2 linked regions of the Alligator mississippiensis genome follow. The protein of the gene in region 1 interacts with the protein of each later gene in a biochemical or structural test. Links are inferred from orthologs where the notes say so. Each region holds a gene or a part of one and is shown in the gene's direction. Other genes may lie near its edges. The genes, in order: NFKB2 and BCL3.

Region 1 (15,160 bases):
CTGAACATGAGATTAGATCCAAGGGACTAGGGACCCCTTGGCTAGCAGGGAGAGGGTTCTCCCTCCCCCTTGCTATATCAATTCAAATTCAGGGCATCTTAGACCTTAAGCTTCATGTGAGAGGGAGGGAAATTCTTGGTATGTCTGAGCCCTGAACCTGATGTACCATGTCCCATTTCCCCCCCTCCTCCCTCACTCTGTTTATCTGGCTGCATTGTGGGCCTGGCATCCCGAGTCTCACAGTACAAAGAAAATTGGGCTTGTGAATGGCACAGCGGAGCCTGAGTGTACTGACAGAGGATGTGGCACCAGTTTGAGCCCCGCAGCGTAAAGCCAGAAGTGGGTGGCTGGGGGCCAGAGAGGGCAGTGTGTGGACTGTCCAAGGGGCTTCAGGCTCTGTGTGCCCTCAGCCCGATGGTTTCTCTCTCTCAGGTGGACCATGCCAAGGTGCTGCATTACATTGGCGCGGGCGTAGCCTTCCCCACCAGCATGCTCTTCCTGTTCCTGCAGTCAGTTCTGACTTACCGCATGGCAAAGACCCGGAGGCATTACTGGACCGGCCACTTGCGCAGTGTCCTCACTGCTCTGGCCTTCATCACCCTTGTCTTCAGTATCCTTTCCCAGCATCAGCACCTGGGTAAGAAGTGTGTGGGTGTCAAGTGTGTGCAAACAACCAGCTGGAGCCAAGCAAGCTGCAGGGCTGGATAACAAGACTGGTGTATGTGTGCGTGTGGGGGGGAATGTCCTTGCTCACCTGCTGAGCTGTGCAAAGCAGCCCACCTTGACCTAGCACAGCATGTACCACCCTTGTCTGCCACACAGTGACAAGGAGAATCAGCACCAGAAAGGAGGTGTGGGCAAGTGAGAAGAGGTGTTGTCAGCTGGGATTAGAAGTGTGGTAGAGACTCAAGGTTGAGTAGAGGTACAACAGGTCTGCCCTAGGGTGCTGGTAGATGTGCGAGGAGGCTGCTCCAACACACTAATTACTGGAGCGTGCTAATTGGAGCACTCCAGCAGCCTCTGCATCTCATATATCAGCATCTCTGTGCTTCAAAATGGCAACAGGAGTGCTTTAACTAAAGCTCACTCGATGAACTTTAGTTAAAGCACCCCCACTGCCATTTTGAAGCACAGGAATGCTGATACATGAGACCCTGTGTGTGCTTTAATTAGGTAGCAGGAGCTCCAATGAGGCTAAAGAAAGACTTGCTGGCTCTTCAGGGGCAGTCTAGATCTGTGGTCTTTGCATGTGTTTGCTGGTTGGTGGTGGACTATGGGGCCATTGAGCAGTACAATTCCATGGGTTTCTCCATCATACCCGTAAAATGCAGTTTCTGCCTTGGTGTTGTCTCACTGAGCCGCTGACAGCATTTTGCATCTGGCTTCAAGCAGGCTACACAGAGCACTTGAGCACTGTCAGTGCTCCAGTCTAGTTGGTAATGTGGCAGCATGGTCTGACACACTGCACGTAGGCTCTGGTATTTTCCTCAGTGCAGATTCAAATCCCACTACTGTGAAGACACAACCTTCCTTTATTTCAGAGTCTAAACCCTTTGGAGCAGGGACAGCTTTGTGTTGTGCTTGTCCAGCCTCGTGCACACCAAGGTCTTGGCTGTGGCTGAGGCACTGGTGCAACATAAATAAGAGGTTGCAGTGTGTTTGACCCTTGGCCCTGACCAAGTCAGCCACCTGAGAAGTCTATAGGTCACTGTATTGAAAATCTAGGGCTAAAGGAGGGAGGAGGGAAAGGCTATAAATGTCAAGTGCAAACACCAGAAGGAAACCCAACTAGGGAGCTAAATTAGAGACATGAATATAGGGAAAAGTAACACAGGCTTGGTGAGAGAGGCAGTGTGTGGGCAGCTAAATTAGCAGGCATGAGGGTTTGCAAACAAAGCAATGGAGGAGGGGGTGTTGAGACTAAGGGGAAGTTGTGTTCCCTGGAAGAAAAGCCATTAGTGTCTGGGCTGACCCAGCTGAGGCTTATTTGGACTGAGGTCATGGATAAAATGGGAAAGGAAGGTGAAGGCTCTGTGTGGCTCTAGAGCCCCTGGCAATATGAAAGGGAGAGGAGGCCTGTGCAAGAACCATGGGGAGTCTGGCTCCTCAGAGGTGCTGACTGAGAGAAGAGTGGCTGCAGGCATGGATGGATCTAGGATTTTGAAAAAGGAGGTGAAGATGGTGTGGTGCAGCATTACATATGATACAATGTATTTTTCTCCAGTTAAAGAGAAACTAGAAAACTCACTAATATGCTAGGTGCCACTGATATATTATTCTTTTAAGATGAAAGCAAAAATCAAATATAACTATAGGAATGTGCATTAATTTGCTAGATTATATATAAAGTTTGAAAACACAATAATCTAGGCAAAATAGTCAAAAGGTATTGTCTTATTATTCCTGTAGTCAGCATAGTTAAATGTACACCTCTTATTCACATTTGTAAAACAACATCTAGCCTTCTTGAACATCTTGACAGTGTATCCATCACTTCACTGTCAGTCATTTCCATAAGTGAGTTAAAGTTACCATACATGAATTAAGGTTTTTAGCTAGGACTAAAAATAATATGCAAGGCTGTGAAACAGAAGGGAGATATTTCCAGGAATGGCTAACAGACAGCAAGATTGAGGAAGAAAGCATAAATTAATTAATAGAACATCAAGACTATTTAAAAAGAAGAGAGGGTCATTAGCACCTGAGATTAGCAGGAATCGGGTATATTACAATGAACCATGAAATCAGTTGATTTCCTCAGTGCTGCCTGAATAGAAATGCTGTCTCTCCCAGGCAGTTGGCTATAAAGTTTGAGTGGAGCAGGAATCAAAAGGGGTGCACCACTGCACACCCCCCCCCCCCATATCTGCCCTTGGATGCGGGCATGGTGGTTTCAGTTGTGATGCATATCCATCTGGCTGATGGGATCAGAAGATTGCTCAGGCAGGACAGATAGCTGTGAAGTAGGTCTGTCTGGCCAGTGATCACACTGGGTTTGAAATGCTGAGGTTCCTTACAAAGGGCAGAATATTGAATCCCATGGGTTGCAAGAACATTGGCTGGGTGCAGGGAGGAGTTTGGATACTTAGGGAGGGGCTGGGATCCAAGTTCAGTTAGTAGAATCCAGAGTGGCTAAAATGCAGGTAAAGTCAGGCTGGCAAAGCACAGAAATAGAAGGAGATGGCAGGGCATTTAGGGACGTGAGAATGGGGAGGAAGGCTGTGGTCATTGTCCACACACTGTGGTGACTGGTGGTCTATAAATACCTGGAGAGAGAGGACAGCCAGTGAAAGGGGCACTTGGAAAGCAAATAGATTTCTGTGGAGGTTACAGACCCTGGGGTGTGTGAGGTCACCAACCTATGGGGGATTGGCCCATATCCAGAAGGAGTAAAGGTGACTGATTGAGGCCCAGCAGTGTCTGTGGGGAGTTCACACATGAGCCAGAGGTCCGGATCCTCTCTTGCTCCCAGTGGTTGGTCCCCCTCTAGGACAAAGTTGTGACGCATGAAACCTTTGGATAGAACCGTGGGCTCTTCCTGGAAGAAAAAGCAATGGCAGTAACCAGTTGAGACTTGCAAACACTTTATCAAATAAATAACTGCTGGGGTTTTTTTAAGAAAGCACGTCATGAGAAGACTTATTTGCTGCCAAGTGGAGAACTGTTGGGGATAAGAAAGGAACAGCTTCTGGGAAATCCTTTCCCTCTTATCTTTCACAGCAAGAGGGTGCAGGTCTGGGCATCTGGTCCCCCAGGATGGAACGCAGGGTGCAAAGTAGCACAGAAAAAAGGCAGCAAAGTTAACTCCTCAGAGGATCTGAAAGTAATAAATTCCTCTGCTGTCCTAACTCACCCACAGAAACTGGGAAGGGAACTAAGAATGTGCTTGGAGAGATCCGTGTGGATTCTGGAGGGCTGGGAAGTGTGTGGCAGAGCTTTGTGACTGGGAGGAACCAGGGTGTTGGCAGTCAGTGGGCTTGTTGAGCTGGCATGGTGGGTCTCTGGAAGGGTGCCATGAAAAGCCCCTTGTTAGGAGGCAGCAGGGCAGGACAAAGAAGGTTGAGTATGAGACTTATTCTGAGGACTGTGGGTTCAGGCCCTGCCCTGGGTGAGCTTTGAAATGCTTTGGGGACCCTGGTTTGGTAGCAAGGAGCATTTGTTTAGAACTTGTCCACTGGTCACTAAACTTGCCTTAAGTCCTTCTAGGCTGTAAATGCCTGCCTTGGGAGATGGAAGCTGGTGGGTGTGTTGCACTGTAGAACTTGTGTATGAGAAAGGAAGGGGGTAAATCAGAAGAGGAGGAGGCTGCAGGAGAACTGGTTTAGCAGCAAGAAGATAAAGGTGAGACAGAGGTGGAGAGCAGTCAGGAGTAGAGTACTCAGACCAGAGCAGGGCCCAGCCTTAGTCTGAGGAACTGGGGCTTAGGGCTGCAAACAAATGGAAGAGGCAACCAGAGCAGGTGACCATATGTTGTACAAAGGACCCCTGACATGGAAAAGGAGTGTAGGAAGAACCCAAGGTAGGAGCTTTCCAAGGGACTGGAGGGAGTTGGGCATCCAGTTCCTCCTGAAACTCAGTGGGAAGTGGGTGCCTAGTTCCCACAGGGAATGTGCAGATCTCTACCTGGGGCCAGCCACATGATCTTGGTGGCGAAGGGCCAGAGGATCCCTGCTGCAGATAGAGATTGCCCTGATGCGTGCGTCTCATGGGGTGGTAGGCAAGTGTGAGATTCCAAACTTGATTGTTCCTTGCATACTAGTACCTGCTTGACAATAGACTTTGTGCTGGGAGGATCAGGCCGAGATGATCATTAACACCCTTGGCTGTGCATGAGAGTCCCTCTCCGCCCCTGCCATGGGAGACTTCTGTTGGCATGCAGGAGTTCATAGGTTGATAATCAACCCACTAGGACCTTTGCTGGTAAATTCGCTCCAAAAGGCAGCTGGACGTTCCAGTTCAGCACCTCTGTAAACTGCCCTGTCAATAACTAACTTAATGAGGGGGAGGGAGTGGGGGGAGAGATGGGATGGTGCTCCTCAGAGGCTGGACCCCTACGCAGGCAGTCCTTGCTGGGACTGGAGGATACTGGTGGTTGTGTTGTTCTTCATGCCCACTAGTTGCATCTGATCCAGGGCATGGTCCTGCCTCCAGGCAAGTGAATGGGGACTTCTGCCCCTGTTACTAATGGGAACAGGATTAAGATCAGCTTCCAAGTAGAGTGAGCTGGCTCTGCCGCTGGCTGAGTAATCCGGGGCTGGGGGATGAGGGCTGCATCCCCTGCTGCTTTGGGGCTATATATCCATCCTGGGGACTGGTTCTGGGGGTAGGGGAAGGAGTCGGGTATTTCTGGTACCCAGGTGCTGTGCTGATTTCCTGCAGAGGCTGTCAGCACATCTTACACTAACTTGGGCCTGTCCCCATGCAGTCTGTCTTCCTGGGTGCCCGGTGCAGCTGCCTGCACCCTTCCCCCTGGGCAGAGATGCTTTGCCTGGCTGTCTGTGGCTGGTTTCCTTGACTCTGGCACCCCCAGGTGGCGTGTTCTTCGTCCAGGAGAGCTTTGTGCTCCAGCATGTGGCCGCCCTCTGCGAGTGGGTGTTCATCATAGATGTCCTGGTCTTCTACGGTACCTTCACATTTGAGTTTGGAGCCATTTCCACGGAAACCTTCCTGGTCCTCCTGAAAGCCAGTCGGGCTCCAAAAAGCTACAAAGCTGACAGCAGCACATCGAGCACGCCTCACATCCACAGCCACTCGGAGAGCCTGGCCATGATTTGAGGGGAAACTGCTCCATGCGGTCTCAGCCTGTGAGTGCCAGGGAGCTGGCCAGGGGCTTTCAGCGAGACCAGAAATCCAGACACTGCCAGCAATTCTCTTGCCTTGAACATATCCAGAAGCCAAGTGGCCTCCCACAGTGTGTTGTGCGTGGGTGTTTGGCTGACTGGGGCCCTGACCCCAGCTTTCCCTCGCATGAGTCATGCAGACAGCATTACAAACTTACTTCCCACACTTCCATGGTATCATCACCAGCAGCTTTTTTACAGGAAAGAAGAAACATCTACTTCCCCCATACCAAAGAGGTCTCCATGCAGGGGCAGGGAGGCACTGAACAGGATGAAAGGTGGTAGGATCCAATTGACTCCCCAGTCAGCTCAATATGTGAGGGGACTCAATGTGCCTTTCCTGGGTCTGTGGTGGTGAGAGGAAGACAATCGCCTTTGAGGAGGCACATGCCATTCCCCGCAGTGAAGGGGATGGCATCTGCCCTCAGAGATGACCCATTTCTGTTCTATTAGGGGAAGGCTTCTCTGAGGACCAGAGACAGTACAAGAGGACAAGTTGGCCAGTTCCTTCTCTGCTAAGATACCAAATTCCTTTGGACCAGCCAGGCCTGTTTTTGTTTGATGTTGAGAAATCGCATCCCCTCCCTGCCTGGCTAGCCTGAGCAGTGGGGACATAATGATTAGTAAACAAAGCGTCAGATCTATCCAGATGGATTGAAGGTGGCCAGACAGTTCGACCCAAAAAGTACAGATGCCTTAATTTTTCTTCCTGCAGATGTGTGTTTTTTTTACTATCATTATTTTTAATATACAATATCAGAGCAGTCTGAGCAGACCCCAAGTGCCTATGGCAAAGGTGGAATCACTTGCTGTTTTGGTTCTTAGATGGGCTTCCACCCTATGGATCAAGCCGTGAGGGCTTATCCTGGCTGGTTGCTTTCTGAAGATTAAGTGAACATCATAGAGAAAGTAGTCCTTGTAAAGAGCCCTTCAAGGGTATCAGCCATTCTGGAGCTAGGGTGGAGGCAGCACTTTAATTCTAGGGGCCCTGTTTCCAAGGGCTCTGACTTCTCAGGAACCCCCCCCCCCCCCCAATCCTGCCATGCTTCCTGTGTGTTCTCAGCCCAAAGGAGAATCATTAGACCAAGTTTAATCTTCCATGAGGCCTTCTCTGAATTCTTGCCACAGTCCTCCTCTACCTCCCTCTGCACGTATCAGAATATCCTTTTTATATTACAATAGTGCCCAGAAGCCCTGCTGTGCTAGGTGTTGTATGTGCACACTGGAGAGTTGGCAGGGATTTGGCCAGTTCTGACACTACACATCACATATCAAGTCCTCAGAGGAAAGGACAATTCTACCCTTCTGCATTGTTGCATGGTTGAATTTGTCAGTCATGGTTCTGCACCGTAGTATAGAGGAGTGCTCTTTGCAGCTGTTAGGCAATTCAGCTTCTCTATCCACCTCCCTGGGATAAGATCAGTTATTACCCTTCCTACATCACAGGTGAGGGAAACTGAGGCATAACAAGGTATAGTATCCACCCCAACACAACGTAGGAAGGTCCTGGCAGACCCAGCCATGACTCTCAGCACGAGACCCCTGTCTTATCTTGCCTGTCACCAAATGTGCCTTTGACCCATTTTTGGAAATGGTCTGTTCAGGCATGCTGTGACTGTGGCTGTGACTAGAAATTGCACCCCACACACACAGTGGTGCTTCTTCACCTCACTGATTTGCAGCCCAGGGCTATCTTGCTCTTCCCAGGTAGCACAGCCTAACTCAGGACAAGAATAAAGCCAGCCAGAGCTACCAAATGTCAGTGGTTGCCCTAGACTGATCCTTGCGCAGGTTTCCTGGGACACAGGAGGAGAATCCAGGTGGATCAGCCTCAGCTGTGTGAGTGAATAGAAAGGATGAAGTGTATTTCTCCCCTCCCCACCCTTGCCCCTTGACAGGGGCTTTTGCCGCTGTGGTTGTGTGTGTTCACTTGGCTGCGTTTCCTGATTTGTCCACCTTTCACATGGATTGGTCTGCAAATGTGCCAGTGCTCACAGTGGAGAAATTATATATGTATGTAAAGAATCTATATAGAGAGAGACATACATTTGCAATAATAAAATTAAAAATCAGCCAAGCATGAGGAGCTCACTTCCTTGGGGAGGAATGCCCTAGCGCAGCAGAGGCGGGGAGCTGGGGCAGGTGCAGCAGGATATGAGACTCCAGCCTCCGGCAGTGGTTCCCAGGCTGTGTGGCTGGTAGTCCAACGCCAGCTGGCTTTGTTTCCAACCCTAGCACCCACTGGAAAGCCCCAGCTTTAAGTATTGCTTAAGCCACTTAAGGGCACGAGTCCCGTTGGGAGTCCCGGGGCCCGGACAAGTCCGTCCCTTGGAAATCCCACCCAGGCGATGCTGCTTCCTTAGGCGATGTCCAGGCCCGGGGGCGGGGGGGCATAGGGCCGATCCTGTCTTAGGCGGGGCTGGGCTGGGCGCTCTGGGGAGCTGCCCCAGCGGGCTCGGCGGCGGCGGCGGCGGCGGCGGCCGCAGGGACGGGGCGGGGAGGGGCGTCCCGCGGCCGGAGGCACCGCCCCGCGGGCGGGAGCTGCAGGCGGGGCTGAGCCGGGAATCCCCGGGGGGCGGTGCCTGGACGGGACTTTCCCGGGGCGGCGGGAGGAAGAAGGGACGACGGCGGCGGCGGCTGGAGGTGAGGGCGCGGGGCCGGGGGTTGCGGGAGGATCCGGGCCACTGCGCCGCCCTGGGGCAGGGCTCCCCCCGCCCGGCTGTGCCGTCGCTCCGCGGGCCGCGCCGCCCCGCTCTGCCCGTCCGTGCGGCGCCGGGAGCGGTGGCTGGAGGCCGCGGGTGTCCCCTGGACACGCGCCGGGTGGCCTGCGGGCTGCTGCCCGGGGCGGGCGGGGACTGGACGCCGGGGCCGGCCCCCGCAGGCAGCCTGGGCCTGGGCGAGGTGGCCGCCGGGGTTTGAAGCAGGTCGCTTGGGCCTAGCGCCTCTCCCGGGCGATGGAGGGGATGTGGGCTTCATTGCTGCCCTCCCTCGCGCCTCTGATCCCGCTCCGCCAGGCTGTGCGGTGCAGCTCGGGAGCCCGGGATTTGCACCGGAGGCTGAGGCCTCAGTGGAGGGTCAGGACCAGGCAGGATAATGAGATCTGCTTTGCTTGGGAAGGCAGCTTTGCGAGCCCCTCACTTGTTCCCATTTTTAAATCCACCAGTTGTTCTCCTCGTTGTGAAGGGGCAGGTTACCCCTCATTTCCTAGAGTTAATCGCTCCTGAAAAGGCTGTGGCTGAAATGTGAGGGCTGCGGGGGCACCCATCCACAGCCGGGCAGAGCGCCCCTAGAGGAACGCGGCTGACTTGGGAGACTTTGGACATCTCGGGGCCTGTAGTTCCAGGTTGTGAAAGGAACAATCTCAACAGGAGCCGTCTTGGGAAATCTCAAGCGGGGGTAACTGTGCTGGGTTCTGGCTGTAGGAGATGTGTCCTATAGCCAGGCTGTGAAGGAGCTGCCCCTAAGGACAAGGGGCTGGCTAGACACCATGGCAGATGTGACTGATGGGGGCAATCCCTGGCAATTAACATGTGGCTGCCATAGGAAGGCAGATGTGGGACAGCAGGAAACGTGGGTGACTGTTTATCAAACGTGTTTCTGACACTTTCTCTTCAGTAAGACCCACTTCCTCCCAAAACATTGTGTAAGCTCCGCACTGCACGCGCTGAGCAGCTAGAGAGCAGCCCCTACCAGCCGGGCAAGATGCTCTGGGCTTGTGATGCCAGGAGGGTATTTCTGGGTGATAAGCCCTGTGTGAAGGCTTTGGTTGAGCCTCCCCGTGAGGCTGTGCTGTGGATGAGGACTGACTGCAGTGAGGTGAGGAACAGAAAGGAGGGCATCCCTGCATCCATCTGCTGCTCCACGCATCTGCTAGTGCTTGGGGGAGGGCACTTGTACAGAGCTGGGGAGTTGCTATACTTGAAGGCCTGGGAGGGGAAAGGGCCTGTGAATTTCCCCAGAAGGCAGCAGTCGGGGACACGAATGATTGAAAGTGAAGCTGGTAAAAGGTGGTCTGCAGGCTCCAGATGGAGAACAAGGGAGAGGAGACCAGTCAGGCTGCAGTCTCATCTGGACAGGTAATGAGCATTTAGCACTTCCATGTGCTGAGATTTAGGAGGAAAGGCAGGAACAGGCTGATGAGGGAAAGCTGGTATCTGAGTGCTGTGCTCAAACCTTGTGTTCTGCTCCTGGCTCTGACACCTGCTCCCTCTATGGTCTCAGGCAAGTGATGCCACCCTTTGGGGGCTCAGTTTCCCTTTCTGTAAAAAGGGGGTAATCTTCCCTATTCCCCCAGGTGTTGTGAGAGGCAATTCCCTGATGCTTATGTGCACTAGGATTGTAGAGTGCTGTCCACTTGGCAAGCACTGTGCGGAAAAGGCTACTGGAACGTATTTGGATCAGCTTGTTCAGCTGAATTCATCCTGGAGGACAGCATGGTCTTGCTAAGGTAGTGTTGATGTCCCCATGACCTGGGAACCTGTGGAGGACAGGTGAGGTGATGGACAGGAGAAAAGGGCAAGCTGCCAGTGGTAAGGGTAGTAGGGGAGGGAGTAGATGATGTACAACGGGAGCAGGCTGTTAATAACCCAACCAACAAAGGAGTTGTCTTACAAGCCCCTAGAAGAAAACCAGAGGATTAAAGCAGGAGGCAGCTTAGATTTGCCGTAACTAATGTAATGTCTGTGAGGAGACAGCAAACTTGCAAAGGCTGGCTCTGGGCCCGGCCTGTCCCTATGGTCATGGGGCTCCTCTGATTTCTAGGAATCGGGGGAGGGTTGTGCTGTACTGCAGCTGAGACTTTTGTGCTGCTGTGTGGGGGTCGGAGGGGAGGACTGACAGGGGCTGCACTGGTTTAATACAAGCTCCTGGGACAGAGTACAGCAGGCCAGATGTTTCAGTGCAGGGATGTGAGGCCAGGAAGCTGGGGCTGACATAGCATGCTTTTCATAAACAGGACCTGAGTTGAGCTCAGCAGTAAGGCATCCAGTAAAGGCAAAATTTGGAGAGGCTCCTAGAAAGAAAAGGAAGAGGAGAGGAGCAGCTAGCTCTAGGGATGTGTAAGGAACTTCAGAGGGGGATCTGGGGCTATGCGTCATCCCTGGCACTCCTGAAGCATCCGTCCCCATGACCACAGGGTGCCCTTGCTATGTACGCATCTCGAAGGTGGAATGTGTTTCCCTCCCACCCAGAAGATGATGAATTGCATGAATCGGATACTACTGCAGAAGTAGTACCTGTGCTCTGTTCCTGGGTCACATCCACAGGAGTTGGGTGTGAAAAAACAGTGTTAATCTGCTCTGGGTGGCAGGGCCTGGACACTAATAACTGAGGCAGCTGGTGTAACTGGGCAGTGAGGTCTACAGTCATGCAGCTGTCCTGCAGAGGGTGCCATCCCTGCTCCGTGGCCCTGGCTCTGACTGTGGAACAGGCCTGGAAAGTGAAACTCACTTGCATCTTACAAGTACTGGCAGAGACAGCCCCACTATTACTCATAAAATCTTACAGCTTGTGGTGGGGCTGCCTCTCCCTATAGTTTGGCCTACAGCTTCTCCATGCTCGGGTGCTCAGCCCTAACATACACATCTGACCTGAGCTTAAAGGTCACTTAGCAGGTTAAATTGAGGGGGGGGTGGGCAAGAACAGTATTAGGAAGCAAATTTAAGCTAACAGAAGCAAGTTCTGTTTCACATAGCCTGTAACTAACCTGTTGACACAAGGTGTTGTAGAAACTGATAACTTAATTGGGTTCAAAAGAGGATTAGATAGTTCATGCAAGATGGGTCTATTGGGGGAAATTTAAACATTTCACCTATGGATGCAACCTCCAAAATAGGACTTACCAGCTTCCAGCCCTGATTTAGAGGCCTAGGAAGGAAAAAGGGGGGGGGGGGGGCAGGTTGTCCTCCATAAATACTTTCTTCCCCTTTGCATTGGCTATGTGCTGCTGTGAGATGCAGAACATTGGGCTAGACAGATCCATAGTCTGACCGAGTATATGCTTTTATGTGTGCCCTGGAGACCAGGGACAGAGAGGAATGCACCACATGAGATGAGGACACCCCTCCAGACTGTTATCTTAAGGTGTTTCTAGTCCCTCCTCTCCTAAAGAATCCTATAGTGCTCGCACAGCTGCATTATTGAAATTGGGTGGAGAGCCAGAGGCTTTCAGCCTTTTCTTGAACCCCTGCCCTCCCGCAGTGAAGGAGACTCTCCAAGCAAGGGGGCGGTTTCTTAAAAATAGAGCAAAACATTTCACTTAAAAAAAAAAAAAAAAAAAAAAAATCTTGAAGCTGGCACTCCATTGCATGCTCTGGGGAGAGGCTGGGAACAGCCTTGTGCCAGACATAAATTGTGCTGCTTTTGTTGTGCTGCTGGGAGGTGCTGCTGGACTACAGCAATCGCTGCAAGATGAAAGCCTATGAACAGTGGAACATGGGGCCCAGCTGTGGAGGGGGAGGACCCACTGTGTTGAAGGACATGGGTCCCATTTAGGGAAAGTGCCACTGTCCCCACAGAGCTGACAGTTGGTGGAAGGGTGTGTGGCTGGGGCAGGCAAGCCTGTCCTGGTGGCTGGAGTGGCCTGGAGAGGATTTGCTGGATGCTGTCTGTAGTGCGGGGCAGTGCCGGGGAGCGGGGGGCTCTGGAGCCTGCACCTGTTCTGTTGCGGTGTCTGGAAGTTGCCAGCGTGTGGCGGCTCGCAGCCCTGGGCCTGCTCTGTGATGCTGGTTTCGTGGGACACGGAGCCCCACTCCCCGTGAACAGCACCTGCTTTGGGCAAGCTTGCTGGGCCGGGAGTGCGGGCAGGGAAGGCAGAGCCCATGCCCACGCCCCCCGGGGCTGCTCATCCTGCTAGACTTTGGCCAGTGGGAAAATCTCAGCACGGAGGGTTTTCCTCCTGTAACTTCTGATGAAAATGAGTCAGTGAGTGTACAATCCCCTTCCTCCTCCTCCTCTTTCCCCCACACGCCCAAAATCCCCAGCGGCAGGACCTACCGGCAGCCAGTGATTCAGAAATTTCATGGTATGAGAGAGAAGTAGAATTTTGTTTTCAGTTGCTTAACGCCGGGCAGAAAGGACTCTGGAAAAGGCCCAGGTGGCTTTGGGCCGGGCCTTCCCCGCGCCCCGCTGTGCCCGGGGCCGGGCCGGGCCGTGCGGGGCCGGGTGAGCCGGGCCGGGCTCCGCTCCGGGGCGCGGGTGCCGCGGGGCGGGCGTGCGGGCGGGGCGGCGCCGTCATTTCCAGGCGGCCGCGGGCTTCTGGGGACTTTCCGGCGCGGCGCCGACTTTCCTGCTCGCCCGCGCCGGCCGGGCCGGGCTTTCCCCCGCGCCGCGCGCTTCCTGCCGGGGCTGCCCGCGCCCGGCCCCGCTCACCCCGCTCTCGCCCGCAGGCCCGGAGCGCGGCAGCAGCGCGGCGCGGCGCCGCCATGGACGAGTCCTACAACCCGGTGAGTGCGGCGGGGCCGGGGTCGGGCCGGGCCGGGCCGGGCCGGGCCGGCGGGGGGGGGACGAGACGGGACGGACGCGGGGCAATCCCGGCCTCATGCCCTGCCCTGACCTGCCCTGCCCTCTCCTAGTGCCTGGACGGGATCGACTATGACGACTTCCAGTTCAGCTCCCACATGGTGGAGCACAAGGAGCCGCTGATGGAGACAGGTAAGGCAGAGGCAGGTCCTGGCAGCACCCTCGGGCCCCGTCGCTTGCCAGGTGGGCAGTGGTCACCTGCCCTGCCCGGCCCGGCCGGGCCTGGCTGGCTGGAGCATCCCAGGGCACAGCGCTGGCCTGTGATCCATCCCCAGGGGCTCCCCATCCTGCTCTGCTCCTCTCATTCAGGTGGGTGAGCAGGGCCATCCCCTTCCCGCTCAGCCCCTACCACGAACCCCAGAAACACTGTCCCACTGCCGAGGCTATGGGACCTTTGCCCGTCCTGAAGTTCCCATAGTGCCAGAAAGAACTGGCTGCAGCTCGGCGAGGGTGTCCTCGGCATGGCCTCCCACCCATCGCTGTTGACCGGCATCACCAGGACGGGGGCAAGCTCTCTTTCTTCCCTCAGTATTTTTCCTTTCTTCTCCCCAGCCGAAGGCCCGTATCTTCTCATCATTGAGCAACCAAAACAGGTAAGGGCTTGGCAGCTCTGGTCTCTCTGCAGCAGTGGTTTCCAAAGTTTTGTTTGCAGCCTGCTTAGTGGGTGGGATGTCGTGCTTGGGGCTGCATGACAGAAGTGACCTGCAGCGCACCACCTCATGTTCAGCAGATGTAACAGAACATGCCTTGTACAAGCCAAGTAAGAACAGTCCAGGATCATTGCTTGATTTCAGCTGGAGTAAGACTTACACACCCGACTTACCTTGCTGACAAATGTGCCGGGTCAGCTCACATAGCTGAGTGCCTCCAAAAAGCAATTGGAGAAGGGGAAACTGCATGTTCAGTCAGCTTCCAGGCCCTTTATAAGGGAAGTCTCTTATCCTTAAGAGTGGATTACTGGGCTACTGCTAAGGTTTGTCAGTCAGCTGCTTCTGAAGGGTCAGTGGCTACAGCTTCGCCAGCCAGCTGGTTCTGTTGAGGACAGCCACCGTTTTGAGTCCCTGCGTGGGTCACACATTGGGAACCGCTGCTCTGGACAGTGGTGTTTCACCATTCTCTGTGGTGCCTTCTGGTTGGGGAAGCTGGGGCTGAAGTCTCTGTGAGCTCACTGCCTTGAATGTAGGGTCCCTGTGCCCAGCACCCTGGTTGGCAGGGCTGCTTGGTCTCTGGTGGTGCAGTGACATGGGTTCTGGTTTTGCAGCGTGGGTTCCGGTTCCGATACGGCTGTGAAGGCCCTTCCCATGGTGGGCTGCCTGGAGCATCTAGTGAGAAGGGACGCAAGACTTACCCCACAGTCAAGGTGAGCACCAGGCCCTGGAGGAGACAGTGCTGTTCTGCCCAGCCATGGGGTACTCCCTGCACCTTGTCTGGCACGCTGGGGGGGGGAGCCTGTACAGGGCATGTGTGTGCTTCACGGTGCTTAGGATGAGATTTATTCCTGCCATGGGGAGATTGTAGACGGGGTCTGAGGCCAGAGCTCACGGGGTGGAGGTTGTCATGATTATGAACTCTCTGAGAACTCCCCTTTTCCCTACAGATCTGCAACTATGTAGGCCTGGCACGGATTGAAGTGGACCTGGTGACCCACAGTGACCCCCCACGTGTGCATGCCCACAGCCTGGTGGGGAAGCAGTGCAACGAAGCTGGCAATTGCATTGTGACTGTGGGGCCCAAGGACATGACAGCACAGTATGTACTGCACTGCTGAGGGCTGGGGAAGGCTCCTGCAGGCCCTGGCTAAG
Region 2 (15,365 bases), on another chromosome or scaffold:
GCGGGGCTGGGGGCCTGGCTTCTCTGGCAGGGGAGTGCGGCGGGGGTGCCAGCGGGGTGCTGGGGGCCCACATGCCTGACTTCTCCCTGGCACCCGCTGTGGTTCCGTGAGCTGGAGCAGCAGACTGGCCCTGGAGGAAACTTTCTAGTGAATCCAGCAAAGAGGAACCAGGCCAAACCTCAAGGCAGCTTCCGCTCCCCCCCAGCCAGAAGGGAACCCAGGCGTCCGGCCCCCACCTTCTTCAAGGGGGGACTCCTGTACCACCCCCGCCCCGTGCACCTGGTTAACCCTGCGTGGGCCGCAGCCCCGACAAGTAGCCCCCACCGCCTCCTGGGCCAGGGCCCTGGCTGCTCTTTGGGTCTGGGGGTCTGGGCCTGGGTCCCATGGGCAGCGGTCCAGGCGCTGTTCACACCAGCACAGCTCTGGGGGTGCAGCCCGTGCCAGGGCACTGCCTGGGGAGAGCTCCCAGCCCCATGTTCTCCAGCTGGGGGGGCGGACACGGGGTCCAAGGCGGCACTCCTGGCAGGGGAGCACACGTGGGCACACGCGTATGGAGCCCGTGAGAAGGTCCCCCGCCCCCTGCCGACAGGCCTTGCGACACCCGTGATTGCAGCGCTTCCTGCCCCCTTCTCTGCACTTCCCCCCCGTCAGCCACGAGCTCACCCGGGGCAGGGCTGCGGGCAGGGGCAGCGGGTCGGGAGGGAGGGGCGAGGGGGAGGGCGATGCCCCGCGCTGTGGTGGGGCCGGCACTGTCTTGGGCGCTGCTGCCCCCTGGTGGCTGCCCTGGGAACTGCGCCTGCGCTGCCCCCTGCCGGCAGCCGGGACGCCTGTTCTCCCTGGTCGGGGAGCGGCTGCTATGGCAGGAGGCGGCGCTGGGAACTGCACCTTTCAGGGGCTTTCGCTTCACGGCCCCGACCCCGACCCGCAGCCCCTGCCCGCCGGCCCCGCCGGTGCCCCTCGGACCCGGGCAGAGGCGGTGCCCGGAGCCCAAATAACGCCCTTCCCGGGGATGTTGCAACCCGGACAGGGAAGTGCCCGCGCAGCCGGGAGGGGTGGTGGGGCTGGGCCGCCTCGAGGGGTCCCTCCAGCCGCCGGCCATGGGGACGCGCCCCTGGGGGGGGATCCTCCTGGCAGGTGAGAGAGGGGCCAAGGGCAAGGTGGGGCAGGGAGGTGTCGGTGGGACCCAGGAGCAGAGCAAACGAGTGCAGGAGACAGCAGAGAGGCTGCGGTCGGGAGGGAGGGGCATTGCCAGGGCTGGGGGGGCAGGGGCTGCGGTCGGGAGCGAGGGGCATTGCCAGGGCTGGAGGGGGCAGGGGGCTGCGGTCGGGAGCGAGGGGCACCGCCAGGGCTGGGGGGGGCAGGGGTCTGCGGTCGGGAAGGAGGGGCACCGCCAGGGCTGGGGGGGCAGGGGGCTGCGGGCGGGAGGGAGGGGCACCGCCAGGGCTGGGGGGGGCAGGGGGCTGCGGTCGGGAGCGAGGGGCACCGCCAGGGCTGGGGGGGGCAGAGGGCTGCGGTTGGGAGGGAGGAGCACCGCCAAGGCTGGGGGGGGCAGGGGGCTGCGGGCGGGAGGGAGGGGCACTGCCAGGGCTGGAGGGGGCAGGGGGCTGCGGTCGGGAGCGAGGGGCACCGCCAGGGCTGGGGGGGCAGGGGGCTGCGGTCGGGAGGGGCACCACCAGGGCTGGGGGGTTCACTAGCTAGTCTAAACCCCCCTCACCCACAGCTGCTGTCCTGGGCTCCTGCCTGTTGCTGGTGCTGGCCCAGACCCACATCACTGTGACCCCTGACCCCCCGCCGGCCACAGTGGTGGGGGGAGCTGTGACCTTGACCCCGCAGCCACCTCCGCAGCCGAGCCTTGTGGCCTGCACCTGGTACCGTGCAGGTGAATTTGAGATCTTCACACACCGGCCTGAGGGTGGCGCCACCCTGAGCCACGGGCCCGGGTACACGCGGCGTGAGACGGGGGGCCCTGGCTGCTCCCTGCGCCTGGGGGGGCTGCGGCCCAGTGACTCCGGTCCTTACACCGTGCTGCTCGGGATGCCCGGGAATGGCCACTCCATCTCGGTCCACCTGGCTGTGCTTGGTGAGTGCCTCCGGGCCCGGGAGAACCCAGGGCCTGCTCCCTTCCCAGACCTGGAGAGAACCCAGGCATCCTGCAGGTGACTTTCCACCTGCACCCCGCACCCCTTCCCAAAATCCCTTGCAGGGGGAGCAGGGACCCCAGTGACCCCCCCACCCTGGCACAGAGCCCCTGGACCCCCCGGCAGTGACGTTCAGTAGTGACACAATGCTGGAGAACAAGACTCTGGAGCTGACGTGCGAGGCCCCCGAGGGCGCCGAGACCCTGCGCTGGCTCCACAGCGACTCCATCCTGGTGCCTGGCAGCCGTGTGCGGCTGTCCCCCAGGAACCGGACACTGCAACTTCGCCAGGTTAGCCGTGGTGATGCTGGAGACTATCAGTGTGAGGTGCAGAAAGGCATCAGCCACATTCGGAGCAGAGCTGTTACCATCACTGTCATCTGTGAGTGCAGTGCATGTGGCCAGATCTGTATCACAGGCCCAGGATGCAGCTGGCTCTGGGGTGGGCATCGGGGCTGGTTTCACACCCTGGGATGTGGCTGGCTCTGGGGTGGCTGTGGGCAGTGTCACCCCTCACTCTCCCCACAGATGGTCCGGAGATTGTCCACATCATCCCACAGGGGCCTCTGGCCCTGCCCGCTGGTGAGAAAGTGAACCTGACATGCATGGCTGACTCAGTCCCAGCCCCGCAGTTCACCTGGTCCCACACCTCTCACATGGTCCCGGCACAGACCAGCACCAGCACTGGTGCTGTCCTGAGCTTGGTGCTCATGGGCATGGAGCAGACGGGTATCTACAAGTGCTGTGCCACCAACCCCCGCACCGGCTTCATCGCCACCACCTCCATTTCCATCACCCTGGGTTCAGGGCAGGGGGGTGAGTGCTCCCGGACAGCACCAGGGGGGTTGGGCTGGGGGGGTCTCTGCCCCCTCCTGATCTCCCCCCATGATGCAGGTCCAAGTCTTGTGGCTGGAGTCGTGGCTGGGGTTGCGCTAGCGGCCGTGGCACTGGGAGGCACTCTGGCCTATGTCCTCTGTGAGTAGCCACCTGGATGCCTGGGTTCCCCACCCAGCTGTTGGAGGAAGGAGGGGTGGAGGGGGGGGGGCAGGACACCTGGATTCCTGGTCTCAGCCTCTGTCCTCTCCCCTAGTCCGACACTGTCGGAGGAAGACCCCGCGGGACAGCAAGGAGCCTCCCCAAGTGTATGAGAACCTGCCCTCCCCGGCCTGTATGGGGGCAGTGGTAAGTGACAGGGGCTTGACCCTCACTCCCAACCCGCAGCCCCCTGCCTTCCCCTCTGTCCCCTATGGTGACCGGGACACCTGGGTCCCCTGGGGTTTCTGGTGCTAACAACCCTCTTGCCTCCCTCTCTGCCCAGGCCCAGCCCGGGAGCTCCCTCGACCCCACCTACCAGGTAAGGGCCTCCCTGGGGCTGCTGAGAACCGGGCAGCTCATCAGGGCCCAGACCTGAGAGGGGCTTGGTGTGTCCGTCTGACCCGTATCTCTGACCTCCCCTGTGTCCCCCCAGACGTTGCAGCTCGGAGCCGGGGACCTGTATCAGGAGCTCTGGACCTGAGCAATGTCCCTCCCTAGCCCGGTGCATGCTGGGGCAAGTGCCAAATGTACTACCCTGTAACCAAATAAAGCCTGGCTGGTTTGCTGCCTCCCTTGGCCCCATTCTGCATTCAGGCCTTTCGGGGGTCAGAGGTCAGGGATGGGTGCCCTCCCATCACCCCCTACCCCCAATGTTTCAGTCACCATGGAAACGGGGTGTGGAAGTCTAGGGGGCATCACCGTGGTAGCCATCTCCCTCACCCCCCCACCCAGAATCAGCAGTTGGGGAGCCGTGTGCTGGAGGGGTGGGAGTGTCCATTCCCCACTTCCCACATACACAGCAGGGCAGGAAAGGGTTAATCCTGGTGTGTGCTGGGCATTCCTTCCAGCCACTGGGGTGGAACCGGGCTCCAGGGAGAAAACCCAGGTGTGGCCCCCCCATGGGAGAAGCCAGCTGTCCCGGTCCCGTCCCACAGCACAGAGTGGACCCAGGCAGCTGGGGGCAGGGTGCAGGGAGGAGCTCTTTAATCCCGAGTGTCCGGGGCTCTGGGGGCGTCTCCTGGGAGGGGCAGATCTCTTGTGGGGTGCCCCGGGCTGTGACGTCAGCGCTGGATCTGCTCGTAGACAGACTCCGCGCAGCTCAGGAGCTCCTGCAGGAGACTGGGGTTAGGTGGGGCACTGGGGGGGGGCACCAGGGGGTGTTGGGGGGCACTCACCATGTAGCGCAGCTCAGGTGGCAGCTCTACGGGGGGGTCCTGCGGGGTGGACATGGGGAGTTATTATAACCCACCTACTGCTGCCCCTCACAGTGTCCGGGGGACCGAGTGGGGGGGCACACTCACCGGGGGGCCACAGGGGTTTGTGTTGCCCCCAGGCAGGGGGGAGTCCAGCGGCGACTCCATCACCTCGTAGATGTGCTGCTTGTCACCTGGGGGGGCGGGGCAAGGGGGCATGGGACCCAGGCATGCAAGGCCCAGCCCCACCGCCCCCAGCCTGGGAGGACCCAGGTGTCGGGGCCCCCAGCCCAACCTCCAGCCGCGGAGAACCCAGGCATCCGGGCCCCTCACTCACTCCTGCCGGAGACCTGGGGGTCCAGCTTGCCCATGGCTCTGCACAGAGAAGGGTGGAGGTGAGAGACGGGGCGAAGACCTCTGCCCCCTCCCCCTGGGGCAGGGACCCAAGCGTCCGCCCCCGTCCCGGGAAGGGACCCAGGCGCAGCCCCCCGGGAAGGGGCCCAGGCGTGCGGGGCTCACCGCGTGGCGGGCTCGGCGCGGCGCAGGCGGCGGTAGAGGACGGCGGTGCCGAGCGCCCCGGCCAGCAGCGCCCCGACCAGCACCGCCGCCACCACCCAGCCCAGGTACTGCGGGGCCGCGGGCGGGGCCCAGGCGGGCGGCGGCTCCGTGCCCTCGGCGTCTGCGGGAGAGAAGGCGGTCAGGGCCGGGGGGGATGCGGGGGTGGTCGGGGCCGGGGGATTCAGGCGTCCAGGGCCGGGGCGGGGCGGGGGGTGGGGTGGGGTGGGGTGGGGGAGGATCAGGCGCCCTGGGGGTTGCGGGAGGCTCAGAGCCGGGGGGACCCAGGCATCCGTGTCCGGGGTGCGGGGAGGATGGGGCCGGGGGCGGCTCACCGCGCACGAGGAGCCGCACTTGGCCGCGGCGGCTGCCTTGGGGCAGGAGCTGCAGCGCGACGCGGTAGAGGCCGGAGTCGCCGGGCCGCGCCCGCAGCAGCACCAGGGTCCCGTCGGCGCGGCCGCGCTCCCGGCCCGTGCTCCGCGCCCCGTCTCGTTGCGGCCGCGACTGCCCCGGGAAGAAGGAGAGGATGCGGGAGCCGCCGTCGGGCGCGCCCTCCCCGCGGTACCAGTCGACCTGGCGCAGCGGGCCCAGCTCGGTCGGGGTCAGCGTCACGTTGTCCCCGGCGCGGGGCTCGGCCGGGGTCACCAGCACGAACAGCTCGTCCGCGCCCGCCAGCGCCAGCCACAGCCACAGCCACAGCCACGGCCACGGGAGAGCTGCGGGGGGAGAGGGAGGTGGGACCGGGGCTCCGCACTCCCGACCGGCAGCCCCCCAGGCCCCCGGTGCCCCTCACGTCCGACATGCAGTCCCCAGGCTCTCTCGGTGCCCCTCACTCCAGACCCACAGGCCCTTGTCCTCCCAGGTGCTCTCACTCCCGACCTGCACCCCCCCAGCCCTCCGGTGCCCCTTGCTTCCAAGTCACAGCCGCCCTGGGGCCCCTCGTTCCCGACCCGCACCCTCTGGTGCCCCTCGCTCCCAACCTGCAGGCCCTTGCCCAGCTGCCCTGAATCCCGACCCCCAGCCCCCTGGTGCCCCTCAATCCTGACCCGCAGCCCCGCCCCGCCCCGGTGCCCCTCACCGCTGACCCGCAGCCCCCAGTCCCTTGGTGCCCCTCACTCCCGACCCCCAGCCCCCCGGTGCCCCTCACCTGCCAGCCGAGCCCCGCAGCGGGGCGCTGCCATCGCCCTCCCTGGACGAGACCCGGGCTTCAGAGCGAGTTGTAGGGGAGGGGGTCGCTGGCCGTCCCGGGCGCCTGGCCCCACCGAGAGCCGCGGAACCTGCTCCCCCGCGTCACCAGGTGCAGCACGGCCCGGGCGGGCAGCGAACCGCGGCGGCCGGAGCCCTGGCGCCGGGCCGGGGGGCCGGGCCGGGAAGAGCCCAGGCGTCCGAGCGCCCCGCCCCCTCTACCCCCCCCAGCTCCCACTCTCCTCCCCGGCTGGAGGGAACCAGGCGCCCGGGCTCCCAGCGTCCCCCGACCTCGCTGACCCCTCCCCGGCAGGGAGAGAGCCGAGGCGGCCGGGCCCCCGGTGACGGTCTCACCGGCTCGGTGCTGGTCCCGCTGGGCTGGGGGGAGGAGGCGCAGCACCCCCTTTTCCTGCCTGCCGGTGTGTGTTCGTGTGTGTGTGTCCGTGTGAGTCCGTGGGAGTGTGTCCGCCCCCGCGCCGGGAACCGGCGGAGCTGGCTGGGCCGGAGGCTGAGGCACGGTGCGTGTGTCAACACGCGTGTGCGTCAGCGCGTGTCAACAGGCGTGTGCCCCCATATGTGTGCTCGCGTCGCGTGTTAACGTGTGGGGCGTGTTAACCGTGGAGTGTCAACACGTGTGTGTGTGTTGTGGTAACGCGCGTGCGCCCCAATATGCGTGTGCGCGTGTCACGGCAACACGCGTGTGTGTATCGTGTCAACACGTGTGTGAGAGAGTGTGAGCGTGTGTTCACACGGGGGGGCGTGCACGGGCCGGTGCGGTGCGGTGCCACGTGAGGCCGCCAGGTGTCGTCGCTGCTCCGCAGAAACGGGGGGGGGGGGGGAGGAGGAGGAGGATCGGAGCCCGGACGCCTGGGTGGGGGAAAGCGGACACTCGGTTAATGTATGGGGGGCTGGGGCCGGACACCCGGGTAATCTATGGGCGGGGGTTGGGGCTGGACACCCGGGTAATCTATGGGCTAGGGCAGGACACCCGAGTAATCTATGGGGGGGGGGGGGGGGCTAGGGCCAGACACCCGGGTAATCTATGGGGGGGTGAGCTGAGGGGGGGTTGCGGGCCCGGACGTCTGGGTCCCCTGCGGGGGGGGCAGCAGGTGCACCCAGCCGTTTGCCGGGCTCAGCCCCGCTCACACTCCCCGCCTAGCCCTGGCACGCCCGTGTGCCCCGCTCCGCCCCCAGCCCCGGGGGTCTCACTGCAGACCACCCCCCGGACTCGGCCCAGTAGGCAGGGGGAGGGTGGCGGGCAAGGGACTTTCCAGCTCGGCCGCCGCTTCTGGTCACCGGTGCCGTGCGGGGGGAGGCGGAGCCGGAGGTGAGGGCTGCAGCACCGAGCCCGGGGCACTCACAGCTGCCCCTCCCCTTGTGCAATTCACGCGCGTGTGCCCCGGCTGCACTGCTGTCCTCGGCGCTGCCTCGTACCGCGGGACGGGAGGGGAGGGGGGGGGGCGTTAATGATTCCTCTCCCCGCCCCAGGAAATCCCCGCCCGGGACAGGGGCGAAGTCCCCCTCTCGGGCCCTTTCCCCCACACCCGCCGGCGGCCCCGATCCCGGCGCTGGGGCAGGAGCCGGAGCAGGCTCCGACGGCCCGGGCGCCCGGGCTCCCTCCCAGCTGCTGCGGCCGCGCCCGGGGGGGGTCCCCGGCCCCGCCCCGGGGCGGGGAGTGCGGGAAGCGGCGGCCGGGGCGGGGCGGGGGCGGCTCCGAAAGTCCCCGGGGTTCAGCTGAGCCGGCGGGGAAGTCCCGCGGCTTCTTCCTCAGCGCCGGGGGGGGATGCGCCGGCAGCCGGAGAGGCCAGGCGTCCGAGCGGGGGCCGCCAGCCCCGTCCCGCCGCCCGCCTGCACGGACCCGCCCCCGGCGCGGGCTGAACAACCCCGGCGTCCGGCCGCGGGAGGGACCCGGCTGCGGCCCCCGGCTGAGGAGCCCAGGCGTGCGGCTGCAGACCCGCGCCCGCCCCCCGCCTGCAGCTGAAGGACCCCGGCGTGCGGCTGCGGGCCCCGGCCCGGGACGGGCCGATGGCGGCGGAGGAACTGCCCGTGGACCTGCGGACGTGGCGGCGGGAGGCGCCCCCCCGCGCCCCCCCGGCGCCCCCCGCCCGCCAGCCCGAGACCTGCCTGCCCCTGCGCAAGCGCCGCTACCCGGGCCGGGACCGGGACCCCCCCGAGCCCCCGAGCGCCGCTGCCGGGAGCCCCCCCAGGCCGCAGGCGCAGCCGGAGCCGGAGCCCCCCGCGCCGGGGCCTTGCGGGGGCTGCTGCGGGCCCGGCTTGGCCCTGCGCTATCCGCGCCTGTCGCCCGCCTGCTGCTACCCAGGTGGGTTCCGATGCCGGCCCCGGTCCCGCAGGGCCGAGGTGCTCGGCGCTGCACGGCGCCCCCGCCCCGGACGCCTGGGTTCACTGGAGCTGGGTCCCTTGGGAGAGTGGGGGGAGTGGCGGGGGAGACCCGGTTGCCTGGGTCCCCGGGTTGGTGGTGCAGCGGGGGCAGGGGCCGGACGCCTGTGGCCCTGGGTGGTGGTGGTGGTAGGGGGGGCAGGACCCGGACGTCTGGGGCCCTGGGTGCTGGGCAGGACCCGGACACCTGGGGCCCTGCGTGGGGGGGGCGGGGAGGACCCGGACACCTGGCTGCCTGACACCCCCATCCCCCGCAGGCCTGGGCGGTGCGTTCCCGGCGGACCTGGCCGCCTGCCTGTCCCCCCCCGCGCTGCTGGGCTTCGCCCCCCCGCTGCCGGTGCCGCTGCCGGTGCCGCTGGCGCTGGCCCTGCCGGGCGCGGCCGAGGCGCAGCTGGCGGCGGACGTCGCGGCGGCCACGCGCCAGGACGAGGACGGAGACACGTAAGTGCGGGGGGGCCATGGGGCACGGCCCCCACCCCACCCCACCCGGCACGGGGAATCCCCGCCCGGGCCCCGCCCCGTGACGTCAGCCACGCGTCACTGCCCGCCGCCCCGCCTCCTTACTGGAAGGGGTGGCAGACAGGGCACCCCCCCCCACTTCCTCCCCTGTGCCCGCTCTGCGAGCTTCCCCCGACAGTGCCGGGGGCGGGGCGGGGGTCACCGCAGGGCAGTGTGCGGGGGGCGGCCGTGGCAGGGCACTGTGGGGCAAGCTCGCAGCACTGGGGGGGAGTCCATGGCAGGGCACTGGGGCGAAGCCTGGGGAAGCTCACAGGATTGGGAGAGGGGTCTTGACAGGGCACTGCAGAGGCGCAGCTCGCAGCGGGGGCGGGGCCGAGGGTCTTGGCAGGGCACTGCTGGAGAAGGTTGCAGCACTGGGGGATGGGGCTGGCGGGGCACTGCGGGGGGGGGGGGGGGAGTCTCGCAGCGGGGGAGCGAGGGGCTTGATAGGGCACTGCTGGAGAAGGCTGCAGCACTGGGAAGGTGCAGGTGGCAGGGCATTGTGCGGGGGCGGACGAGGGACTTGGCAGGGCACTGCGGGGGAGTCCCTGGCAGGGCACTGCTGGAGAAGGTTGCAGCAGGGGGTGGAGGGGGCGGGGCTGGCGGGCACTGCGGGGGGGGAAGCTCGCAGCCGGGAGAGGGAGGGCGGCTCCCGGAGGCGCGGGGGCAGGTTTGGGACAGGAAGTGGCCGCCGGGGGCTGTTACTGGAAGCCCCGATTTCGGTTTCGCTGCGGCGCCATCCCCGCGGGGGGGCCGCCCGCTGACCCGCGCTCCCCGCAGGGCGCTGCACATCGCGGTGGCTCAAGGGAACGTGGCGGCCGCGCGGCGCCTGGTGGCGCTCTTCCTGCGGGGGGGCCGCGAGCTCGACGTCTACAACCACCTGCGCCAGGTGCGGGGGGCGGGGCCGGGCGGGGCGGGGCGGGGACCTTCCCGGAACCGCGTGCGGCCCCACCCGGGGCTTTCCCGCTGGCTTCCGCGGGGGGCGGGGGGCGCTGCGGTGCCGACCGGCGGCCCCTGCCCCGCAGCCCCTGGGGGTTGTGCTGACCCCCCCACCCCCTACTTGCAGACGCCGCTGCACGTGGCCGCCATCACGGGCCAGGCCGCGCTCGTGCGGCTCCTGTTGGCCCACGGGGCCTCGGCGCGCGCCCGGGACCGGCAGGGCCGCAGCGCCGCGCACTTGTGCTGCGAGCACGGGGCCGCGCGCTGCCTGCGCGACCTGCTGCTGGGCGCGCGCCCGCCGCCCGACCTCGAGGCGCGCGACTACGAGGGTGAGCGGGGGCCCTGGGGGGACTATTGGGTTGGGGCGGGGCCGAGGGATCGGGGGCTCTTGGGGGGTCCCTGGTGGTGGTTGGGGGCCCAGCCAGGGTGTGGGCGTAGGGGAGTTTGGGGGTCCCTGGGGACATCCTGGGGGGCAGGGTGATGGGTGGCGGGGTCTCTGGAGGAGCTGCGTGGGGGGTTGCGGGTGCGCTGCCCCCCAGCTGACCCCTGCCCCCACAGGGCTGACGGCGCTGCACGTGGCGGTGGCGGCGCGGGACCAGGAGGCCGCCCGGCTGCTGTTGGAGCATGGGGCTGACGCAGACGCTGCGGTGAGCGGGGTCAGGGGGCTCGATGGGGGGCAGTGCGGGAGAGGTTTGGGGGGCCCAATGGGCTCTGATCCCCCCCCCCCCTTTCTGCCTCCAGGACATCAAGAGCGGGCGGTCGCCGCTGCTGCATGCGGTGGAGAACAATGACTTGGCCATGGCTGAGCTGCTGCTGCAGGTAAGACCCTCAATGCCCCCCCCACCCAGTTGTGGGCTCTGCACCCTGGGCTGGGGCTGCACTGGGGGGTCACGGTGCCTGCGCCAGGCCTGAGCCCCCTTTCCCTGTGCCCTGCAGCAGGGGGCAAGTGTGAACGCGCAGTCGTACGCGGGGTGCACGGCGCTGCACGTGGCGAGCGGCCGGGGGCTGCTGGACGCGCTGCGGCTGCTGTTGCGCTCGGGTGCTGACGGCGGCCTCAAGAACTGCCACAACGACACCGCCCTGGCTGTGGCCAAGAACCGCCGGGTGAGGGCGTGGGTCAGGGTGGGAGCAGGGTAACCCTGGGGGCAGTCAGGGTGGGGTCATGTCAGAGCTGGGGGGTCTCAGGATAGGTCAGGGGGGTCATGGCAGGCCTGAGGAAGGCTGGGGGGGGGGTCATGGCAGAGCTGGGACGTCACAGGCTGCCAGGGCAGGGGTTGTGGCAGCACTGGCGGCAGGCACCGGGGAGGCTGGCCCGGGGGGGGGGGTGTCATGGCAGAGCTGGGAGGTCAATGGGGGGGGGGGGGTCAGGGCAGGGGCCATGGAAGACCTTGGAGGTCATAGGCAATAGCAGGGGTGGGGGGGTCATTTGGGGGCCTTGGGGTGGGGACCCTCGGGGCCTTGCCCTGTGTCTCTAGGGGCAGACCTCTGAAAGGACCCCATAGCCAGGACCAGGGTGGTCCTGGGTTTCCATGGTGCTCACCTCCCCCTCCCCCCATTCCTCCCCCAGGTCATTGACATCCTGCGGGGTAAGGCCTCGCGCCCGCCCCCCACCTCCGAGAGAGCAGGGGATGGGGCCTCGCCAGTGCCCAGCACCACCGGCAGCACCTCCCCTGGCCTCAGCCCCACCGGTGAGACCCCTTCCCTTGCCCCCCCCTGCCTGGACTCCCTGGGGCTGGGTGGGGGAGGCCCTTGGGGGTCTTTGGGGGCAGCTCCTGATTCCCCCTCCCCCCTCAGGTCTCTCCAGCTCCCCCCTGCTGGCCCCCAGCCCCCCCCAGACGCCGGGGGCCCATCAAGCGGCTACACCCAATCAGAGAGCAGAGGGTGCGGAAGGGACCAATGGAGCGTCAACACCAGGCCTCACCCACCATGCGGTGAAGCGGGAGAGCAGCCCCATCTTGTCCCCTGTGGAGCAGCCAATGGGCTGTCAGCTCCCCCTGCCCTTGGCTAATGGACGGCTGGACCACAACCTGGATGCTCCGGCCAATCACTTTGCACCGTTGCTTCCTGCCGCTTTCCACAGGCCAATTGTTTTGCTGGGCTCTGGACCACTGCCCAATCACGTGCCTCCAAGGGATGCTGGCAGCCCGCCCCCTGGGGCAGGGCCAGGGCCAAGGCTTCGCACCCCTGATGCAGTGGGTGGGGGGGGCAGCTGACGCTGGGAGCCCTGGGGGTTGTGGCCCCATGACCCCAGCCCAGGGGCCGTGATCCGGTGACCCCTCCCTGGGGCCAGTAGCATGGGGGGTGACCACCGACCCATGGGGAACCCAGGCATCCGGCCCCCACCCCAGTCAGGACTGTGGGACCCCACTGTCCGCCTCCCCTGCCAACACTGTGGGACCCAGGCATTGGGGGTGGTGGGGTTATGACCCCCATGGCATGTAGCAGGGGTGGGGGCATCTGAGCCTAGCCCCCCCCAGTCTGGGGCACCCCCAGTGGGGTGGGAAAGGGGTGCTGCTCCTGCAGGTATTTAGGGCCTGGCTGGAGATGATGGGGGGGGTCCCCTGCACTGAGCCCCCCCACCCCCCCAGGCACAGCATTAACCCCTCCAGTGCCAGGCTGCACCCCACACAGCCTGGTCTGCCTGGGGGGGCATCTGCTTCCCCTGCCCCCCCAGGTGGCAGCATCAAATACTTGAATGGGGGGTTCCAGGGGGGGTAACTTATTGTGAGGGGGGAGAGGGGGTGTGCTGCTGATGCAGCTAATAAAATATTTGTTTTTTTTTAATGCAGATTTTTGTCTCCAGGGACTTGGGGGTTGGGGGGCTGCAGGTCAGGAGTGAGGGGCAGTGAGAGGGGGCAGCTGGGGGGGCTGAGGGGACAGATGGATGGGGGGAGATGTCATCCCAGAAATGGCTGCTGGGGGGGCGGGGCAGCACCTCTTGGTTCAGGGACAGAAGGACCAATGGTGCCCTCGCTCCCAACCCGCAACCTCCTGCCCCCTTCATCCCTGCCAGTGCCCCCCACTCCTGGCCCTCAACCCCCTGCCCTGCTGGTGCCCAGGAGTGGATCTGCTCTGGTGGTTCTGGCAGAGGTTTGGGAAAGTGCCAGCTGCACCCTCCCGCAGTTGCCCCATTACTGCGCCCTTTGTGCTGGAGCAGCTGGCCAAAGGGCAGGGGGTGACCCCAGACACCCCGGATCCATTTCTAGTAGGGGCAGGGGGGGCAGAGCAGCTGGTGGGGTGGGTGCTGTTTTGTGCCAGGTCCTGGCCCTTGCCAGCTTGGGGAGGGGCTGCCCGGACGCCTGGGTTTTCTATTCCAAGCCTGGGGGAAGGAAGGAAATGCAGGGAGCGGTCTGATAGCCAGGAAGGGGCAGTGGCTGGATCGGAGCCCTGTCCCTCCAGCTGGGGGGGGCACAGACCAAGCCAGGGCCGGGATCGCTGACAGCTCTTTATTGGCTACATGCACGTGCCCCCCGCCACCAAACCAGCCCTCCCAGGCTGGCAGGGTAGTGGGGGGGTCCCCTTGCCCCCCCATTCCCCACCAGCCAGGAATGGTGGGGGAAGGGGGTGGGGGGCTGGAGGGGCTAGGACATCTGGGTTCCCCTCACTCCCCCCAGTGAAACCAGTGTGATGACTACCTGGACCCCCCCCAGACAGCAGGACGGATAGATGGGTGGGGGTGGGTCAGCGAGGCCAATAGGACGGGGTGCAGTGTGGGGGATGGAGTCTTCTCTTCCTCCTTATCCCAGCCGCTCTGGGGAAGTCTCAGCACTGTGTGTGTGGGGGGGGAAGAGTCAGGATGGGTTCACCCCCAGACCCCCCCCTACAGCCCCCCAAATCCACACTCACCTCGGGGCCAGGCCCCCCCCCTGGGCTCAGCAACCCCCGACTCTGCTCTGTCCCATCCGGCCGCAGCTCCGTGGCCCCCCCTGGTGCTGTGACCCCCCCGGCCCTGGGGGTCCTGCCAGACATGGGGGGGGCGTCAGACCCCCTGCCCGCATGGGGGAGCAGAGGGCATTGCCATGGCCATGGCCATTGTCCCCCAAGCACAGTGGGGACATCTGTGGGGTAGGGGAAGGGGTCGGGGGACTCACAGGGAGCGCTTCTCGCCGCCCCCCCTGCACGGCAGGTGCCGGCGTCGCTGGAGCCCGTAGAAGCAGCCGACAACAAGCAGCAGGACCAGGACGCAGACCACCACGGCCACTACTGCAGCCCCCGGACCGGCCAAGGGCCCCCCTGCGGGGACACGGGTTAGCTGGACACCTGGGTTCCCTGCCCCCCCTGCTGTGGGGGTAGGGGTCAGCCAGATGCCTGGTTCCCTGCCCCCTGCTGCCTCCACCCCCTCTACAGGGACATGGGTTAGCCAGATGCCTGGGTTCCCTGCCCCTTGCACACCCCCACTATGAAGATGGGTCAGCTGGACTCCTGGGTCCCCTCCTTGCCCTGCTGCACTTCCTCTGTGGAGACCGGGGAAGAGGGTGGGTCTCCTCCCCTCTGATGTGGGTTGGAGGGGTCTCCCCAGATGCCTGGGTCCCTTCTAGCACACTCATGTCTGGCATCCAGGAGAGGGATGCAGAGGTCCCAGCCCCCCAACTCCCTCACCTGTGGGGTGCGTGGTGGGCACAGTGGGCACGAACGTGATCTTCCCTACTGACAGACAGATGGGGAGGTCAATGCGCGGCTGGAGGTCAATGCCCGCCCTGCCCCAGGAACCCCCCCTTCCCCCCAGGAACCTCTAGTGACTTACGGATGCGGAGGCTGAAGCTGGTCTCGGCCTCGCCATAGCGGTTGTGAGCGTGGCACCGGACACCATCATTAGCGAGCTCAGGTGTCATCTGCACCCACACAGTGCTGTTCACATGGCCCTCAGCGCCGCTGTCCTCTGGCTGTGCCCGTGTGCACACGTGGTAGTCAATGCCCCTGTGCGAGGCACTGGGGCCTGGCATGGGGGTGGCCCTCGTGCGAGGGGGGTGGGTTGTGACCTGATAGGCCACCCAGGCTGCCTGCCCCGGACCTGGAAGGGCCGGGCCTGGTGTGCGTGTGCACATGTGTGTCCCCTGCTCACCGTGACGTCATGCAGGCTCCAGGTGATGTGGGGCAGGGGGTGCCCCTGAGCCTGGCACGACAGACGGACAAGGTCCCCCTCACGACCAAAAACTGGCTCTGGGTCCTCCATCTTGGGCGGCCCTGGGGGCAGGGGAGAGTCAGGGCTTGGATCCCCAGGACCCCCCCCCCAGTACTCCACCTGCCACGGGCCGGTACCTTCTACCACGATGTGGACCGTATCGTTGCGTTGCAGCCCGGGCACGCTGGGCACAGCTGCCTCGCATGTGTAAGGCCCGGCATCGCTGTAGGAGACCGTGCGCAGCGTGTGCACAGGGCCCGGGCCCAGCCAGTCCTGCCCCTGCAGGGAGGTGCCCGGTTAGGCC

The links.
Region 2: the proteins of NFKB2 (region 1) and BCL3 form a complex in vitro, tested with the Homo sapiens proteins (2 studies listed by BioGRID). The link is inferred for Alligator mississippiensis from reciprocal best matches to the Homo sapiens genes NFKB2 and BCL3.

The regions. Positions count from the first base shown.
Region 1 is NC_081829.1:18,180,127-18,195,286, forward strand, and holds the start of NFKB2 (nuclear factor NF-kappa-B p100 subunit), read left to right. Parts: upstream 1-8,384; 5' UTR 8,385-8,483; intron 8,484-13,225; 5' UTR 13,226-13,261; coding exon 13,262-13,282; intron 13,283-13,411; coding exon 13,412-13,490; intron 13,491-13,910; coding exon 13,911-13,951; intron 13,952-14,619; coding exon 14,620-14,718; intron 14,719-14,955; coding exon 14,956-15,107; intron 15,108-15,160. Other genes in the region: transmembrane protein 150A, read left to right, coding at 433-610, 5,531-5,775. UniProt on the Homo sapiens protein: NF-kappa-B is a pleiotropic transcription factor present in almost all cell types and is the endpoint of a series of signal transduction events that are initiated by a vast array of stimuli related to many biological processes such as inflammation, immunity, differentiation, cell growth, tumorigenesis and apoptosis.
Region 2 is NC_081838.1:31,118,920-31,134,284, forward strand, and holds BCL3 (B-cell lymphoma 3 protein), read left to right. Parts: upstream 1-7,158; 5' UTR 7,159-8,130; coding exon 8,131-8,425; intron 8,426-8,759; coding exon 8,760-8,943; intron 8,944-9,780; coding exon 9,781-9,889; intron 9,890-10,066; coding exon 10,067-10,268; intron 10,269-10,497; coding exon 10,498-10,586; intron 10,587-10,680; coding exon 10,681-10,758; intron 10,759-10,875; coding exon 10,876-11,043; intron 11,044-11,506; coding exon 11,507-11,627; intron 11,628-11,733; coding exon 11,734-12,152; 3' UTR 12,153-12,688; downstream 12,689-15,365. Other genes in the region: carcinoembryonic antigen-related cell adhesion molecule 5, read left to right, coding at 1,001-1,134, 1,721-2,080, 2,244-2,519, 2,666-2,953, 3,032-3,112, 3,228-3,319, 3,456-3,491, 3,606-3,653; CEACAM19 (carcinoembryonic antigen-related cell adhesion molecule 19), read right to left, coding at 4,234-4,281, 4,348-4,386, 4,474-4,559, 4,703-4,740, 4,885-5,044, 5,256-5,636, 6,068-6,101; BCAM (basal cell adhesion molecule), read right to left, coding at 13,702-13,707, 13,786-13,897, 14,031-14,172, 14,539-14,586, 14,684-14,822, 15,002-15,123, 15,199-15,340. UniProt on the Homo sapiens protein: Contributes to the regulation of transcriptional activation of NF-kappa-B target genes. In the cytoplasm, inhibits the nuclear translocation of the NF-kappa-B p50 subunit.